Linked DNA regions of Caenorhabditis elegans. The protein of the gene in region 2 purifies or fractionates together with the protein of the main gene of each other region. This does not show direct contact. Each region holds a gene or a part of one and is shown on either strand. Other genes may lie near its edges.

What was found. The genes of interacting proteins can lie anywhere in the genome.
Region 1: the proteins of Y67A10A.3 (region 2) and C54G4.7 fractionate together in Caenorhabditis elegans (co-fractionation; one large-scale study listed by BioGRID). This does not show direct contact.

Annotation. Positions count from the first base shown.
Region 1 is NC_003279.8:8,016,389-8,024,250, reverse strand, and holds C54G4.7 (AB hydrolase-1 domain-containing protein), read right to left. Parts: upstream 4,751-7,862; 5' UTR 4,589-4,750; exon of another isoform or gene 4,557-4,588; coding exon of another isoform or gene 4,421-4,556; 5' UTR 4,401-4,420; intron 4,151-4,400; coding exon of another isoform or gene 3,998-4,150; intron 3,955-3,997; coding exon of another isoform or gene 3,851-3,954; intron 3,632-3,850; coding exon of another isoform or gene 3,497-3,631; intron 3,466-3,496; 5' UTR 3,450-3,465; coding exon of another isoform or gene 3,398-3,449; coding exon 3,276-3,397; intron 3,208-3,275; coding exon 3,120-3,207; intron 3,071-3,119; coding exon 2,892-3,070; intron 2,522-2,891; coding exon 1,774-2,521; 3' UTR 1,605-1,773; downstream 1-1,604. Other genes in the region: cyc-1 (Cytochrome c domain-containing protein), read left to right, coding at 1-130, 177-276, 328-576, 623-817, 871-999; dod-18 (Nucleotide PPase), read left to right, coding at 3,384-3,449, 3,497-3,631, 3,851-3,954, 3,998-4,150, 4,421-4,556; rskn-2 (Ribosomal protein S6 kinase), read right to left, coding at 5,180-5,330, 5,634-5,781, 5,833-6,112, 6,359-6,467, 6,996-7,117, 7,290-7,379, 7,439-7,670, 7,795-7,862.
Region 2 is NC_003282.8:14,326,756-14,336,814, forward strand, and holds Y67A10A.3 (uncharacterized protein), read right to left. Parts: upstream 7,705-10,059; 5' UTR 7,698-7,704; coding exon 7,696-7,697; intron 7,648-7,695; coding exon 7,535-7,647; intron 7,166-7,534; exon of another isoform or gene 7,142-7,165; intron 7,080-7,141; coding exon 6,516-7,079; intron 6,389-6,515; coding exon 4,816-6,388; intron 4,769-4,815; coding exon 4,671-4,768; intron 4,624-4,670; coding exon 4,441-4,623; intron 4,387-4,440; coding exon 4,073-4,386; intron 3,378-4,072; exon of another isoform or gene 3,357-3,377; intron 3,122-3,356; coding exon 3,024-3,121; intron 2,978-3,023; coding exon 2,760-2,977; intron 2,701-2,759; coding exon 2,240-2,700; 3' UTR 2,190-2,239; downstream 1-2,189.

The DNA of each region.
Region 1 (7,862 bases), on a different chromosome or scaffold from region 2:
TCACAGCCGCTTCAGGCATGGGACTCGTTTACGCTTTGGAGAACTCGGTCAGCGCTAGCGGAGACAACGTTCACCCGTACGCTTTACCATGGGCTCACAGCGGACCGTTCTCTTCATTCGACATTGCTTCGTAGGTTCAATTGAGTTTGGATAATGATAAATCGTTCATGTTTCAGTGTACGACGTGGATACGAAGTATACAAGCAAGTGTGCGCAGCTTGCCACTCGATGAAATTCTTGCATTACCGTCATTTCGTTGACACAATCATGACTGAGGTAATTTGAATAAAATAATAACTTCATGCTAATCACGACTTTTTTTTAAAGGAAGAAGCTAAAGCCGAGGCCGCTGACGCTCTTATTAATGATGTTGACGATAAGGGAGCATCCATTCAGCGCCCAGGAATGCTGACCGATAAGTTGCCAAACCCATATCCAAACAAGAAGGCCGCAGCGGCTGCCAACAACGGAGCTGCTCCACCAGATTTGTCATTGATGGCTCTTGCTAGACACGGAGGAGATGATTACGTTTTCTCTCTTCTTACTGGATATCTTGAGGCTCCAGCTGGAGTGAAGGTATTTCGTGCACACAATTGAAAGGAATTAGTGAAACATTTTTCAGGTTGATGACGGAAAAGCTTACAATCCATACTTCCCAGGAGGTATCATCTCTATGCCACAACAATTGTTCGACGAAGGAATTGAGTACAAGGACGGAACACCAGCAACAATGTCTCAACAAGCTAAGGATGTTTCTGCATTCATGCACTGGGCCGCAGAGCCATTCCATGACACCAGAAAGAAGTGGGCTCTTAAGGTAATTCATTTTAGAAAATATTATATACAAGTGAATAAACTTTAATAATTTAGATCGCTGCTCTGATTCCATTTGTGGCTGTTGTGCTGATCTACGGAAAGAGACATATCTGGTCATTCACGAAGTCGCAGAAATTCTTGTTCAAGACGGTCAAGGGAAGAGAGCCACCAAAGGCTCAGTAATCACCAGCTTTCCGCTATTTTTTCATTATCCTCTTCATTCGTCCGCAATTTCCATCAGCGATCATTTGCTCGCAATTTCATAAAATATTGTGAGATTAATCGTTTGTAAATTTAATGAAATTGCGAGTATTTGTAACCCTCCTCTCCTAGTTCATTTTTTCACAGCCTCCATCCCCTCAAAAAAAAAGAACGCGCTCTCCCTCGATCCGACCGTCGTAGTCACCAAAATTTTCAAATTGGGGACGACGTCGGGAGCCGTTTAGAAAAATTTAGTTGTCGCCGTTGTTTGTTAATTGTGAAAATAAAATGGAGAGTTTAGTATGAGTATTTTTCCATTTTCTGAGAGTTTTTGCTGTATTCGAAATAGTCAGACTCCTTTTTAAACTAAAAAGCTCACGAACTTTTTCGATGCATCATTACTTTCTCGAATATTTTTTTTATATAGGAAATCTCTTATCCGTTTTTTTTTCTCTGTAACCACGTTTTTATACCTTCTTTTCTTTTCCAATAAACCAAATAATGGTAAAACGTCGACATTTATTTTTAGTGTGGAGACGAATAAAGTTTTAAATTATAAATCGCATATGGAGATCATGTTTGTAGAATTTGGTTGAAAAATGTTCATTACCGACATAGTTCTATTTTATGAAAAGGCACACTGAGAAAGAGAAACCGGTAATGTCAAAATAGAGACAATCTCAAATTTGGCTATGGGAGTTCTAGTATCACAAGAAGAAACGGAAAATCAAAATTCTAGTAAAAATGCAAATTATTTTAAATTGTTTTCTGCTGTTGCCGTCTGAGCAATTCGGTTATTCTTCGACGCCAAAGATCATGTTTCGATAGATATGCTGTAACATGTCCATATCCTTCCATCATTTCAACAGTTACATTAGGCCATAATTGTTGATATGTTGGTGTCCCTTGATTTCGCAGTACATATTGATCCTGATCAGCCAAGAATACATGGCATAGTGATGTGTCTATTGGTGTTGGATAGAATTCAAGACTTGTGAAGTCATCCATCAAAATTCTCATCATATTCTTGGCTTCTGAATCACCGTTTCTCGCAGTCATCTCTCGCATTTTATCCAGCCAATTTTGATTCGGAATTCTTCGGATTTTATCAACATAGTGAGGATCTTCGAGCTGTTTCTGCAGTAAAGAATAATTAACAGCTGGAGAAATAGCTCCTTCCGTATATGATGGTGATGCTGTCGTCCATGCAAGAATAGGAACTATTGATATTGGACGTTGCGAATTTGATCCAGCAAGTTGAGCCATAAATCCACCCATCGAGACACCAGAAATTGCAAATGGACCATATCCAAGTGTCTCAGACCAATTGAAAAGATGATTACATTCTGCAATTAAAGCGGCACCCATCACAAAAAGATCCGTCACATTTTCAAGAGAAGAACGGAATTGATTCGGTGGTTTTCGATCTCCATAAAATGGATTTTGAATTAAAATAGATCCCACACCATCCTTAAGCATGTCATCAACAAGAAGATAGTGACGTCTGAAATAATAGTGATCTATGATACCAGTTTTGATTTTTTTGCATTTTTTCGAAATTTTTGTGGTCTCTGATAAGAATCATTATTCGATTTATGCATCTATGTAAGATGCGATACTTTTTATCTCAGTTTTTGAGTTTTTTTCTCTTTTTAGATTAAATATGTATTATTCAGACGCAAACTTTTTCGATCTTTGTGACAAAAATACGGTATCCGGTCTCGACACGATGAATTTTGTTAAATGCAAAAAGGTGTGCGCCTTTAAAGGAAACTGTAAGTTAAAAACTCTGCAGCGAGTTTTAAAGTACAAAAAAATTTGTCGTGCCGAGACCAGGTACCGTATTTTTTAAAATAAATTTTCAATTTTCTTACCTAAAATAAGAGTGATCTCCGGTGCCTGCCAAATGTATGCATACGGGGCCTGGTTTCTGAGGAAGATATGCTCTGAAATGTGCTCGACCGACGTTTCCTGGCATATGATTGGGAAAGAGAGTGGCATGAGGACTTGCGAAAAATCCCTCGTATGAAGTTACGCCATTTTTTGAATATTTCTGAGAATTATTTATTATTGAAAAATGTTTTTGAGAAATTAAAATTTACCTTCACAATGTCGATTTTGGGATTAAGTTCTTTCACATAATCCATCACAAGCCTCTTTGACATGACATCTCTGCGATATTTTGCCATTCTAAAATAATAATAACAATAATTAATTATCTATTAGTTTCTCAATTTCTCAATTAAAACAAAACGTACTGTTTAATTACATCCGGATGTCCCCAACTTTTTGTGAATAATTGACTGAGCACAAGAGCCGATCGAAATTTCAGATCCACGTGTTTCGCCCACGACGGCAAGTTCGGAATGAAAGAAGCCATTATTGTATTGGCAAGTCAGTCACCAAATCGACTCAAATTGTTGCAGCAAATTGTGAGAAAATGAGAATCTACAAAAAGAAAGATTTATTTCGGTTTCAGGGATTGGAAAATGTAATCGTAAAAGTTTCAAATTTCGAGGAAAATCTACCAAAAACATTGCCAGTTAAGCAGTTTGTCATTGAAACAGCTAAAGGAAAATTGACGACTATTGTGGAAGAAATGAAAAGAAAAGAGGTATAGTTATTTTTTCAGTAACTTGAGAATATAGTTATTAGTTGAAAAACAAATCGGAATTCAACAAAAAAAATACGGCAACATTTCTCGACGCGACCTAAAACTTTTTGCGCAAAATTTCAGAGTGCTGCAGCATATCGAGACCTGCTACCATATTTTTAAAATCTAAAATTGAAATTATAAAAACTGAGATATTATATTAATATATGAATTATTAAGGAGCCGTACTCTGTTATTATTGCGTGTGATACAGTAATCGAATTCAATGGAGAAATTATTGGAAAACCAACAGATGCCAATGACGCTAAAGAAACTTTGAAAAGGTAATTAAATTTTCAACATCATAATTGTATAAATTAATTTCAGACTTCGTAACAATACTCATAATGTATATACTGGAATGGCTCTACACTATCATGAAACTGATCAATATGAAGAGATCATCGAGAAAACAATTGTTCATTTTGGAGATATTCCTGATAGAGTTATCGACGAATATGTAAAAAGCGGAGAGCCATTGTTAGTTTTTTTTAGCAAAAAAAAGTTATGGAAATATTTATTGATTGAAAGTTATCAAAATTTTTGGAATTGAATTTCTTATCTAAAGTCATAAAAATGAAAGAAAAATTGGCGGTCAAGAAATTTTGAACATTTTATGAGTATTTGAAAGAGCTGCAAAACTTGAGGGATTTTTAAAATTTTCATCACGTTTTTCATCATTTTCATCACGACATTTGAAAACTCCAATAAAAAAACACGAATAACTGACCTAGTAAATCGAAATTTCAGGAAAAAAGCAGGTTCATATGGAATCGGTGACTTTGGCGCTGTCTTCGTTCGTGGAATCGAAGGATGTATGCCGAATGTGGTTGGTTTGCCACTTCACCGTCTTCACCAAGCTCTTATCGCTAAAAATATTCTCTAAAATGCTTTCACTTCCATATTTTATTTTCTCACATTACATCAGGTTTTCACGTTGATGCTTCAATCGATATTATGATTCGGAGCTTTCAAACCTTCTCCAAAATAAATATGTAAAACGAATTACTTAATTTTATTAATCTTTCAAAAAGTCGATTGGCAAGTCAATCATGCTCATCGCAAAACATGGAAGAATTTCTGGAAATGGTTCAAGAGTTCAGGGAGTCACTGGAGACAATGAAAAGATTACATGGGGATAGGTGGATGAATAAAGATATGTGTATCTAACAAAATGATTATAAAAAATTAGAAATTTACATGAGACTAGATATAATAACATAAAATGAAATGCACGAATCACAATATTTTTCAAAATTGGTAGAGGATTGACTAGAAATGCGAAATATCTAACAAATGACAATCACTACAGGTTCAATGAACATTTCAGCAACTGTACTCATAGAGAAGGCAATGCCACAAGTGTCAGGTGACGGAAAATTTGTAAAATAGTGAGAATAATGAGAGAGTACAGACTAGAAAGCATCTAGGACGAAAGAATCACAACGCAAACAGTGAGAGAAACAGGAACAGAAAGGAAGAAAAATTAAAAGAAACAAAGAAAAAGGTCTAGGAGGAGTCTGAGCCACGAGTTTCTCGGATTGTTCCAGAATTTGGTTCTCGATAGTTCATCATTCCCAAATTGCTTGGACGGGATGTTGATGATGTCATCTCTGCTTCTTGTTCTTCCGGAAGACACTCGAATTGGGTAACTCGCGAACTGGAAAATGACATAAATTGTTGAAAATGAAAGTATATTTTCAGAAACGAAAATGTTCACAATGCGATCAAAATTAGAAGTATCATATTTTTTTAGAAAATAATTATTATTAATAATTTCATAAATATAATATTTGAATAGACGTTCTAAATAGTATAAAATAAGGAATTTACAATTATTTGCAAACTTAAAAACTAAAAAATAAAATTTTAGAGAAATGTCGTCAAATGTGGTGTTTCTTGTGCACTTTGAAACCGTACCCCAAATTGGAGGAGTTTCAAATATTAGGGTTCTTGAACTCACTTTTTCGAGTTTCCAGAAGCATCCTTGTCCCCAGATTGTCTTTTGATTCCGCGTCGTTTCATGAGAGGAGCAGCAGCAACATCGAGAAGATGGAATCCATCACGATTAGCGTGGAGGAATGCGCGCAGTGTCTCATTGAATGTTTCATCTGAAAAGTCAAAAGATTAGGTTATTCAATTTTCAATAACATCAGTTTAACTACCTGCTGATGATGGCAGAATACTAGGAGTTTGAAGTGGTGTATCCATTGAAGCCGAAGACTTGAGCCACATATGAGCTGTAAGCTCTTGCATTGAAAGACGTTTCTTTGGATCCACAGTAAGAAGACCGGTTATTAAATTCTTAGCATCTGCTGACACGTTTGTCCATGCGTCTCCTGTGAATGAGAATTCTGCTCTACAAATTCTCTGCATTATTTCAGTTGCCGATTCTTGACGAGAACGTGCATGGAATGGAACTTGACCCGATAGCATTGTGAACTGAAAAATTTATTCGTAGAAAATGTGCCACACAATTTAAAATATTTCTTATGAATTTCTAATAACCAGGGTTCTCAATGCGTCCAAAAAATTTTTCACGATGTGGTACTGTAGTTGCATGCTTCCATTTCGTGATTTTTATCGATTATCAATCGTTTCTTAAATTTGAGGGGTCTTTTTGTTTTTTCTCAAAATTTTTACTTCGATTTTTGAAACATTAAATTATTACAAAATTATACAACTAACCAGTACAACTCCAAGTGACCATAAATCACATTGTTCGTTGTATTCTGGTTGAGAATCTCCAACATCTAAAACTTCTGGAGCAGCATACTGTAGTGTGAAGCAGGGGGTCCTGTAATTATGATTGAAGAATTTCATAGTGAGAGTTAGGCAAATATATAGAAGCTATTAGTGAAAACAAACGTTATTCAAAGATGAATTGGGCATTCTCTAACTCTCAAGTTTACAGAAAATTTGAGAAACTTAATGTGAGTGTTTGTGAATTGTTAGTAAACAGCTTTGTCTTGAAAATCAAGTGAGAGTCAGAGAATGAGTGTGTTTCTTCAAAAATCTCTGAAATCAAGAAAGAAACCCTTAGTAGAGATAAGTGAAAAGAAAGGTTTAAAAGGATAGAAAAAGAAGATAATCTGTAACAAGAATGCACGAAACATCACACACCACCGTCTTCCTCTCTACCAAAAGTAACTTTTTTCGAACATTTGTTCTTTTAAATTTTCAGCTTGAGACACATGCTCCCAGTTAAGAAAAAAAAACAAAAATATGCCCAATAATGAGTGAAAAAAGACAAAACACAATAACTTTTGACTAGACTAAATGTTACTCCGAGTGGAGTGAATGATTGTGTGCGATGAGACCGTACATCTTGCGCAGAACTTGAACAGACTTCAGTTGTTGTTCCATTGAATTTGGAAGTAGACGTGCAAATCCAAAATCGACTAGACGAAGGCGGGCACTTGAATCGATACTTTCAAATAGAATATTCTGGAATAAGAATAACTGTGCCCGTTTTTTTAAAAATTGCGTCATAATTTTCTAACTACTCGAGTATACTCCACCTTTAATTATTAATTTGTTTCACTTTTTGGAAGTATTTTATTCTTATGTTTTGTATTATTTTGCAGCCACTTAACATAATCTGATCATTGAAACTCACCTCTGGTTTCAAATCTCGATGAACAATTCTTTTATCATGAAGATATTTCACAGCTGATACCAACTGCCGCATGATGTCTGCTGCTTCACTCTAAAAATTTAATTTTCAGAGTAACTCCGAATTAAAGAAATGCTTAAAAGAATTCTAACCTCTGTAAATCGTTCCAATTTTCGAATTCTCTCGAGCAGCTCATTTCCAGTCAGAATCTCCATGACGAGATAAAAATGAAGAGGATCCGAATGTACATCATGAAGTTGAACAATATTCGGATGTCCTTGAACCATTTCAAGAATTCGTGCTTCACGTTGAGCCTGACTTGCGAACTTTTGTGATACGATTTTGACTGCAAACTGGGCTCCGTCAACTACGCGTTCGCATCGTCTGAATTTGTATATTTTATCTTTAAAACTATGTAAAAATAACGTTTTGTTGAACTTTTTCGAGATTTTCGAATCTAGAAAATAGTTCCAGCACATGAAATGTTGATGAAAATATAAAAATTTACCTGACCACCGAAAAAGCTCCTTTTCCTAAAAGACCAGCGTCCGACTTGTCTAGTTTGTACTTGGCAAA
Region 2 (10,059 bases):
TAATTATTAGCCTTTCATTGCAGGGTTCTCGTTGTAAGGGCAATGTAACACGAAAATGGTACAAAAAATCCTGTAATGGCGTTTATTACGTTTGCTGTTTTTGAGAATATTCAGTATTCTCGTTAAATTCATCAACCATTACAAAATCTCCTTCAAAACAATCATGTTATTATAGAAAATCTCAGATTTATAACTGCTCAGAAGAGCAGGCCACTACGGCTCCAAAATTCATTGGCTCCATGCGGTCATCAAGTCCTCAAAGGACTGTTTCACGCTCGCGGCCTGCCCGTCTCCCTTTCATCGCAGTTGGCATCTCTACCAATATGATGGGAATTACGAGATACATACTGCAGAAATGATTCTGTATAGTATGGTCTCGATGATAGCAGCGCTGGCCGTCGAGGAGAAGGAACGCGGCGGCCGACACACTACGGGTTCCGCTCGTTTCCAAGTTGGACGTGAGTGGCGGCCACGCCCATGTGGTGGAATCAGAGAGAGAGAGAGAGAGAGAGTGCGGAGACAGCTGATAGTGAGAGAGCAATTGGGATTGACATTTTTTGTCTTTGTAAAATAAATTAAGCCTTAAAATGTAGGGTAAATTAGGGTGAAGGGTAGAGTAACGTATGATTAATAATTACCAAGGAAGGCCTTCATTACATTACTTTTCACAAAAAGTGTTGTTGTACAAATAATGTTGGTGAAACGGCAAAAAAACGATTTGCGGGATGATTATGAATCACAACAAAATTCAATACTGCAAGATTAAACTAACATTAAACTAGGTATGGTTCATTGTTTTGGAAAAAATTTTCCAGCTGTACTAAAAGTATCGTGCCTTATTACGCTACAAACGTCTAAAATTTTCCATGGAGGTCTTGACAACATTTTAGCAGTTTTACATGTTTTGTTGGCACTTGTGTAGTAGATTTGTTGCCAATATATTACTTTTCTGATGACGCTTTTTCAATTTTCACACCTAGAAATGATTGTTCCTTAGCCTTAGTCTTAAATTAAAATAGAACTCACTTGTTAAATTTTTAAAGAATTAGAGCACAGCTTCTGTGAAATTACTGTTTCAATACACTCATAAATAAATTAAATTTAAACTTGCACATTACTGTTTTCTTTTTATTTATTTTTTCAATTTCCTAGAAACATTTATTTGTAAATAAGTACATGTGAGAACTGAGGCGTGCAGGTGACTGACAAAGCGAATTCTAGACTACTATGAACATTTTGAAAGTTTTACATTCGCCCACTAACTTTTAAAAACGATGCGCTTCATATGCTAAATTCAAAACAGTATGAGACTTAAAACTTGCTTTGGATTTTTTTTCTGAAACAAAACTTCTCACAAACTTTATTCGAAATTCGTTTTTTAATATAGTGTAATTCACGAGGTTCGTTTCTATTTCCAAACAAGAGGCTCATAAAAAAATAAAATTTAAACTTGCACAGTTGGCTTATCTACACTCAAAATAATAAAACTGCGTGGCGTGTACTGCAGAAAACCTCATATTTAGGCCCCGCCTTTTTCTCGTCCACTCACGGAGAAAAGGCAAAAATTCGGGGACCAACCAATATCAGGCCGCCGACATCCTACGTGTTCCGCGCGCCGCTATGTTTAACTCGCAGCGGGCGGAGACAGTTTGCCGCGCCCACAACGAGTTAAAAATAGCGGCGCGCGGAACCCGTAGGATGTCGGCGGCCTGATATTGGTTGGTCCCCGAATTTTGCCTTTTCCCCGTGAGTGGACGATAAAAAGGCGGGGCCTAAATATTAGGTTTTCTGCAGTACACGCCACGCAGTTTTATTATTTTGAGTGTATGTAGTATAAAAAGTGAGGTAATCGTACTTTTTTGGATAGGTTAATAATTTTTACTATATATGCGCTCATTAAAACAACTAAAAAAAACAGTTAAAAAATAAAACTTTTAAAAAGAAGAGAAAGAGAAAAAACAATGGGAAGTTAACGAAATAGACATTTCTGTGTAAGTAAGTACAGGGGGCGTGCAGGTAGGCGTCCAAAAAGTGCCACTAAAAAGTGAAACTAATTCCATACTGCTATTTTCACTTGTTCTGAATACAGATGCCCAATCGTTTCTAAATAACGAAGCAACACATAAGCTGAGCCCAAAACAGTATGCGACTGTTTTGCTTTGGAATTTTATTTTGAAAAAAAAAAAAAATTCCTCACAAACTTTATTCAGAACGTTCTTTATAATCTAGTGTCCATAATTTACGAGGTTTCATTTTCATTTCCAAGCAAGGTACTTGACTCTGTCCCAGTTGTCACCGTGGTTCCCGTAGCTCCCGTAGTTGTAGTGTTATCCGCCGTATTCCTCTTGTTTTTCTTCTTCTCTTTCTCACTTTTCACCACAGAACTCGCCTCCGCTTTGTGTAGCCCATTCAATTTTTTATTCTTCGCATTCGTTTCCAAAACCTTCTCGGAATTGATTTCAAAAGCCAACAAGAAATGAATCAACTCGTCGGTGCTCAGAATCTCATTGTGCATTTCTTCAAACATTGAATTCTTGTAGTCCCATTCAGTTTTCAAGTAGTCGGCCTCAAAGTGAACAAAAAAGTTTTTCGGGTAGTCCTTGCGATGATAACTTGGTCCCCTGACCCAATTCCATTTGCCATCAAACAAATGCTCCGGTGAAACTCCCAATTCAGTTAGAACATGCTGGAATTGATCCCCTGAAATATTTTCACATTAAAAAAATTTATTTTTCAACATTGAAGTAAGTTGAACTTACATTTTGAACAATTGAAATTCGAATTATACAACGTAACATTCGTACCAAACAGGTATGGAACATTCATTCGATTGAAAAAGTCTTTGATTTGAAGCAAGGTGCCATATTCTTTTCCCTGGAACGTCATTCTTGTCACACGATACTTCTTGTTTCCAGCGATATTTGATGAACTGCTGACACATGCTTTCAACCAACTCTCACTCATAACCATTGCGGCACTGTAAAAGTAAATTTTTCGAGGAAATACCTAAAATCTGAACCTACCAGAACACAATATGGACTTCATTTTCAACAATGTTCCAAACACCTTCCGAATCAGTTTTGACCACGAAATGAGAGAACGGGCGTTCCCAATCATCCATCTGGAACATTTTTTGGATTAGAAAGTGATGGAGATTTGCTGTGTACTAGCTAGATAAATTGCTTAAAAAATTTGGTACAAAGATCTGTATATAATTAGTAAAAAAGTTTGCAAGATTTTGTAAACAATTTGTGAACATATTTTAAAAAGTATTTGAAACATTGCAAGCTTATTAGAAATTTTTTCACAGCGCTTTCTCAAATCTATTAAATCTAGCAACTTTCGCTAAAAACCACTGATCCGAACACAGCAATGAAAAATATGAAAATATAGTTCAAACTCAACAACACCTTGTAAGAATAGTAGTGACAAGATGTCCAGAGCGCTGCTGACATAGCATGAGCTACTACGAGCACAAGGGCAACCAAACGAGAGTGTCCCATGTCGGCTTGATCTACTGAGATCTACAAAAAATGCGGGAGTTGAGACGCAGAGTTCTCAACTGATTTTGCATGGTTAAGAACGTGCCGAACAGGAGTGTGCGGCAAATTTGCCGAATTTGCCGTTTGCCAAGCTCGGCAAATTTCGAAATTTGCCGCACACGTCAAAAATTTGAAAGTACAATTTTGACCAAAACTGTTGATTTTTTCGGCAAAAATTTGGCAAAATGCTCCAAAAAACATCATAAAATATCAAATTTTTCCGAGTTTGTCAAACACCGCAAATTTGCCGAATTTGTCGAATTTTCCGACCTCGGCAAATACTGGAAAAATAGACTTGCCGAATTTGCCGAGCTCGGCAAATTTTGAGATTTGCCGCTCTCCCCTGGTGCTGGCGTCACATTTTTTGGGCAAAAAATTCCCGCATTTTCGGCAGATCAAACCGTAATGGGACAGACTGAAACAACGTGACTTAAAGGCATGCTTCTCGACCAGGCAAATATGAACTATTCATTCAATATTCATCAAAAAACTGTTCCAAGTTTTGAGAAACCCCGCAAAGAATCACTTACCAAATACAAGTACTTCTTACAAAACCCATCATAATGCCCACTTTCCTCGCGAAGATGCTGCTCAACTCTGATATTGTAATCGCCCTGATTCAGTTGCTGAGGTAGAACAATATCAAATGTCTTGCCTTCAAACATCTTGAGCACTTTAATACAATTCTGATGGCCAAGTTTTTCAGCCAACTCCAGCGGTGTCTCTTGATCATGATTGAGAACATCACAGCTTGCACCATACTTGAGAAGCTGTTTTACGTACTCGCCCTGTCCAAGTGAGACGCTTTCGTGTAGCAATGTGTTGGAAGATTTAGAGCTTTGAACTGAAATTATTTCAAATAAATATTATTACGGAAAACCTATAATATATGGAATACCTTTAGCATCGACATATGCACCAGCAGCTAGACTTTTCTTGAACTCGTCAATGTTGTCATTGTGAAGATGCTTGAACGCCGGAATGGCATAACCCGGTTCTTGAAACTCTTGAGGAATGTTTTCAGGAGTAAATGAGAGCAGAACCCACGTCTCCGGATCATTGAGCTGGGTCAAATAGTCAACTGAAAAACAAAATTTTTGTCGTAGGAATATTCAATTCATTTTTTACGTTTTCGAGTGAAGCGTTTGAGTAGAAAGTGCAAAACGAAGAAAATTATCACAGGAACAAGTAGGAATATTGAAACGGCAATAATTATATAGACCAGTCTAAAAAAAACTTTGTTTTAATTAAAAGAAACCAATTTCAAGCTCACCCTCCCGATTGTCCCTCATCTCCATCGTCGTGATTGGAAACCAAATTTGATGCATTGGTTTGCATTGGATGCGATGGTTTGTTTAGTTTCTGATTTCTAACCGGGAACATCTCTTGGAAATACTGTAGGATTTGAGGCAATGAATTGTAAGCTTTCACAATTGCTACATCATATTTGGCAAAGTCCGACGCGTCAATCGGAACTCCTTTGATCTCGAAAATCTTCTTGAACAATTCCCCAACGTCCTTGAGATGCTTATCATTTCTTTGATCTTTTGCATACTTTTCCAGCTTTTTCAAATCATCCACCAACTTTATCATTCCATCCCGATTCACTTTTGTCCACGAACTTTTATAAACAGGCACACCACTTATCAAATTGTTCACATCGTCTGCCGAACTTGCCGCTGCTGACACGATTTCACTCTTCTCATAGACTTCAGACATCTTCCTCAGAACAATGACACCGTTTGCAAAATCAAGAACCAATGATCGTGAAATTGGAGAAACTGACAAGTTGTTTTGTGCAGCTCGTCGTTGCTTTGCTTTTTGTGTTTTCTTGGTGTTCACCTGCTCAACTGCAGCTACAAAATCATTTTTCAGTTTCTCGAGCAATCTTAGAATTCCTGGGATTTCTTGTAAAGCGCCGGTGTCAATTTTCCGAGCTTTGTTGATAAATTCAAGTAAATTGACAACAATCGAAGATCCGTTATAGCCGACGTTGGCAAATTTTTTTGAGACAGTTTCCAGTCCAGAGTTTTTCAAACTTTTTTGAAAATGGTCCAAAGACTCCTTTTGGATTGTTTTACCAACAATTTCATTCACCTTATCTTCCAAATCAGTTGGCAACTTTGTCGCAAAAAAATGAGTAATATTCCACAGTTCTATAAAACCCACGGTTTTTCGTATCTTCCTCACTCTATCCAAGATCTGCGTGTCGTTTAAATTATCCACAGCGTTTCCAGCAGCGTTATTAATTGAAACTACTATAGCTTTCAAATCGTCCCGTGTTATGTTATAGCATTCAAGTTCAGCCAAAAAACCTTTCAGACTTTCAACTCGATCGCTAATATCCTCGAAAGATTTTTTCAACTCATAGAACTTATCGAAATCTTTGAGAGCATCATCATCTGGAATGTCCTTCAATTCATTAACAATATCGTTGATAGATTTTGTCCTTTTCTCTATGTCGGAAATCCCTGCCAAATGTTTATTTAAATCACAAAAATTCCCGAGTTGAAAGATCAAAGCATCAGTTAATGGCATACGTGTTGTGGAAGCATTCCTCATATCGTCCCAACTTGAGCTCAAATTTTTAAGTTCGTTAGGAAGCTGATGTATAAGTTCCAAATGTTTGGAGAGTTCACTCATACTCTTCTGACTCGCAAGCTTTTCTTTCAACCATGTTCCACTGAGGTCATCTTTGATCTGAGCAAGATCCTCAATTCCTTTTGGAAATCCGACGTAATTCAACGTTGCCGTTTCTCTTCTCGATACCAAAGAATGAATGATTTGACGAGTACTTGAGAGTTGGGCAGTCATCTCAGCATACGCAGAATTTTTCTTAATAATATCTAGAAGTACTCTTGAATTATTCATCATCAGTTGTGGATGCCAAATGTTTAAAATCGGCAAAGTATTTTCTATAGTCTTTTACAAACAGAAAATTTTGATAGATGGGTTCAAGTTTTTTGTGCACACCTTTCAACTTCAATACGTCAACTGCAACTCTGTCCAAATCAAACATATTGAAAAGTTGTGAATGAAAAGTATCGTAGAGTGACTGAAACTCTTTCAGAGAGTCAGATACAGTTTTCGAAGGAGTAGTGCTCAACGTCTCTTTAATTGACGTCAAAACACGAAACATTGGCTGAAAAGTTGTTGCCTTCAAATTTAAATCCTTTGGTAACATTTCTATAAGAAGCAACGAGTTATCAGTGACATTAGCAAGATTATTGAAACGCTGAATTATTGAGGAAAGTGTCTCAAACTGATCTCTAGTCACTGAAGCGTTAATTGCATTCTCCGCAAGCTTGCTTACGTGATCAACTGTGAAGGAAACGAGTTTGGATGTACTCTTGACATGAACATCGGTTGCAATCACTCGTTCAATAGCCTTTCCATTCGGAATATTAAAAAGATCGGCGATCGTTTCAGTGGCAACAAGAGAGCCATCGGTGAGCAATTGTTGAAGTAGTATGCCATTCAAGAGCCGCGCAAGTGACGAGAAGTCGTCGGTCATTTGTTGAAGGGATGAAGAAGAACCTGAAAAATTCATTTGAGAATTTATAATTTTTTTTTAAAATTGAGCGTGTTGTTTCATATTGAAACTTTTGATCTCGTCGAAAATATCATTTCTTATCATTTGTTGGTTTTTTTCAAACGATTACGAAATAGTCAAAAATTTGAAAACCACGCATTGATGATTTTTCATTCAAAATTGACATCTTTGAAAGACTTGCAGCTATGAGAAAAGTACGGTTCAGCGGTACATACGGTTGGTAGGCAACAACCAAAATGGGCAGGTAGGTAGGCGTAGGCATGAAAGAAGGTGACAGTAACTAAACCGCGTCTAGCTAGCAGCGATCTTCGCACGCATTACACCTTCTTTGTAGTGTGTTGTGGAACCCAAAAATCGTCGGCTGCTGCGAAAGACTCTAGACTTCAGAGAACCCGCGCATGCCTCACATGGAAGTTTTAACTCCAACCATTCCGCCTACCTTGTCCAGTGTCTCTTTCCGAACGTGCGACGTTTTTAATCGTTTCCAGTGTATTTGAACAATTGAATGCCAACGATATCAAGAATATCATAGAAACGATTCTTATAGATAACCTGAAAAAAATTGGTTGTTGCCAAAGTATCCGGAAAATTGAAACTCACATTTTAATATCAAGCTTATCGATATGAATTTGTTATCCACAACAGCGTTGAATCGGGAAATAAATGAATAATCATCAAAAGTGTGGAGAGGTCCCCCGAGAGTTGAATGACGTGGTTTTAGATTTTTGGAACTGATAAATAAATAAGCGGCCACGTAAATATATAAAGTAAGGACTTTTTTAAAATTTAAATCTTGAAAATGTTGTTTTGTTTTTGACGTGAATTTCTGCTGACGTGCTAACGTTTGCAAGTTTGTCTCTGTGCCACCGCACCTTGTGTCGGATTTTAATGGAAATGCTTTCAACGTTTTATTAGGAGTGTTTTGCTTCCCTATCTGCAGAAACACCTTATGCATATAAAAATCCAAAGTTTAAAATGCATGAAAAACCTATTAAAAAATTAAGAACAAAATATGAAAAGTTGAAAAATCGGCACAGCGACTGCAATTCAAAATTTTGCCGAATTCCTACTTTTTCCGCAAAGTATCAGTTTCGTTAGATTTTCCTTTTTCCTTTTTCGCTATTCCTTTTTCGTGACCCGGTAGATGCCGGTCGCTATAAAACAGTACTCGATTTTCAGCAAATTTTAAGTAAATTCTCGACTGTTTTACTATCGTAGTAATAGTGCACCATGACTATGTAATTTCGATGAGTTTATTTGCACTAAAGTTTCATGCATGACAAGCACATAATTTTACAAAAAAGCTCTAGATTGTGCATTTCTTCACTATCATTCATATCTTCTATCAATTCCCTGAAGTTCTCGAAGTTGGGGTCCCCGACTCGATCTTCGAGGTGGGGTTTTCCACAGATCCATTCGAAGCTTCACTCGATCTAACTTCAGAACCACTCATCTCCAAATCGGTTTCCTCCCCTGACTTTGTCTTATCCTTCCATGTAGCATTGTTTCTACCCTTTGCTTCATACTTCAAAACGCGTTTCGTGGTGATTTTAAAACGAAGCAAAAAGTGAGTAAATTTATCCGTGTCCATAAAACAGAAGAGTGGATCAGTCAACCATCTATCCTTGAAACTCGCTTTAACTTGATGTCTATCTTCTGGACGCGACAGGACAAAGTTTCTCGGCATATCATCTCTGTGGTACGAGCTTCCTTGTTTCGGGCACAAAGCCGGAAACTCACCAACACCATCGAATACTCCAAGTTGAGCAACAACCTTGCGAAATGTGATCCCTGAAATCATTTTTGAGACATTTTTGAGACAACTAGTAATAATTAAAACTTACAATCCTAAAACAGTACATGATTGTTATACGAAACTCCAATATCGAACAAAAACGGAACATTCATTCGATTGATGAAATTTTTGATAGCAACCACAGTTTCATACACTTTTCCTTGGAATCTCATCTTTGTCACGCGGAATTTCTTATTGTCAGTGATGTGAGCAGAATTGTTTAGACACGCCTTCAACCAACGATGTCCCATGAGCATAGATGCGCTGAAGGAAATATGTTAGAAAAATAAGAAGGCGAGAAGCGCCCGACACCTCGCGAGTGTTGCTATCAATCGGCAGCAAGCGGCGGGCATGCTAACTTCTTAGGAGCTTAGCAATCTAACATTGAATTAGTGTTTTCTATTAGCTTATCTGAAAATTCAAACCTTTACAATACAATATCACACATGAAAGGTCGATTGCTTATTAATACTAACTGGGAAACAGAAATAATTAGCTTAAGGCGCTTTTTTAAAATTTTAAATAACCCTTTCTTACTTGAAAATATGCGGAAGATGATGCTCCTTGACATTCAAAACATTGTTCTTGTCAGTTTTCACGATGAAATGAGTGGCTCTCTTGTCATTTGGAACTCTCTGAAACGGTTATCAATAGCTTCCAAAAGAACACCCGTTAACTCACAAATTGCGGATATTTTTCGAAAAAATCGCCGTGATAATGTTCTTCAAGTGGAATCGATTTGTCAACATCCAAGAGATAGTTGTACTTTGACAGCGGATCCGGCTCTGTAGCCTCGTTTTTGCATTTTGACGTAAATTTACAAATGTCAATTTTTCTAATTTTCATCAATTTGTTGAAAATTAAATTAAAGGTGGACTACGCTCTGTGGAGAAATTGCTTTAAAACACGCCTCGGGGCTACAATGACCGAATATCATTATGAAAAAATTCAAAAATTTTTTCTAGATTTATATGATTTTTTGAAAATTGGAAAAATCTCAGTTTTCAACTAATTATTTTTGAGTTTCCGCCAATTGGATTTGTTCGGTGGAGCGCACTTGCATTATTCTTAATAATTAATTTTATTTATTCTCGTTATTTAACTGATTTTCTTCATTTTCTATGGTTTTTTCTCGGAAAATGAAAGAAATAAACAAAATGAATGTAAAA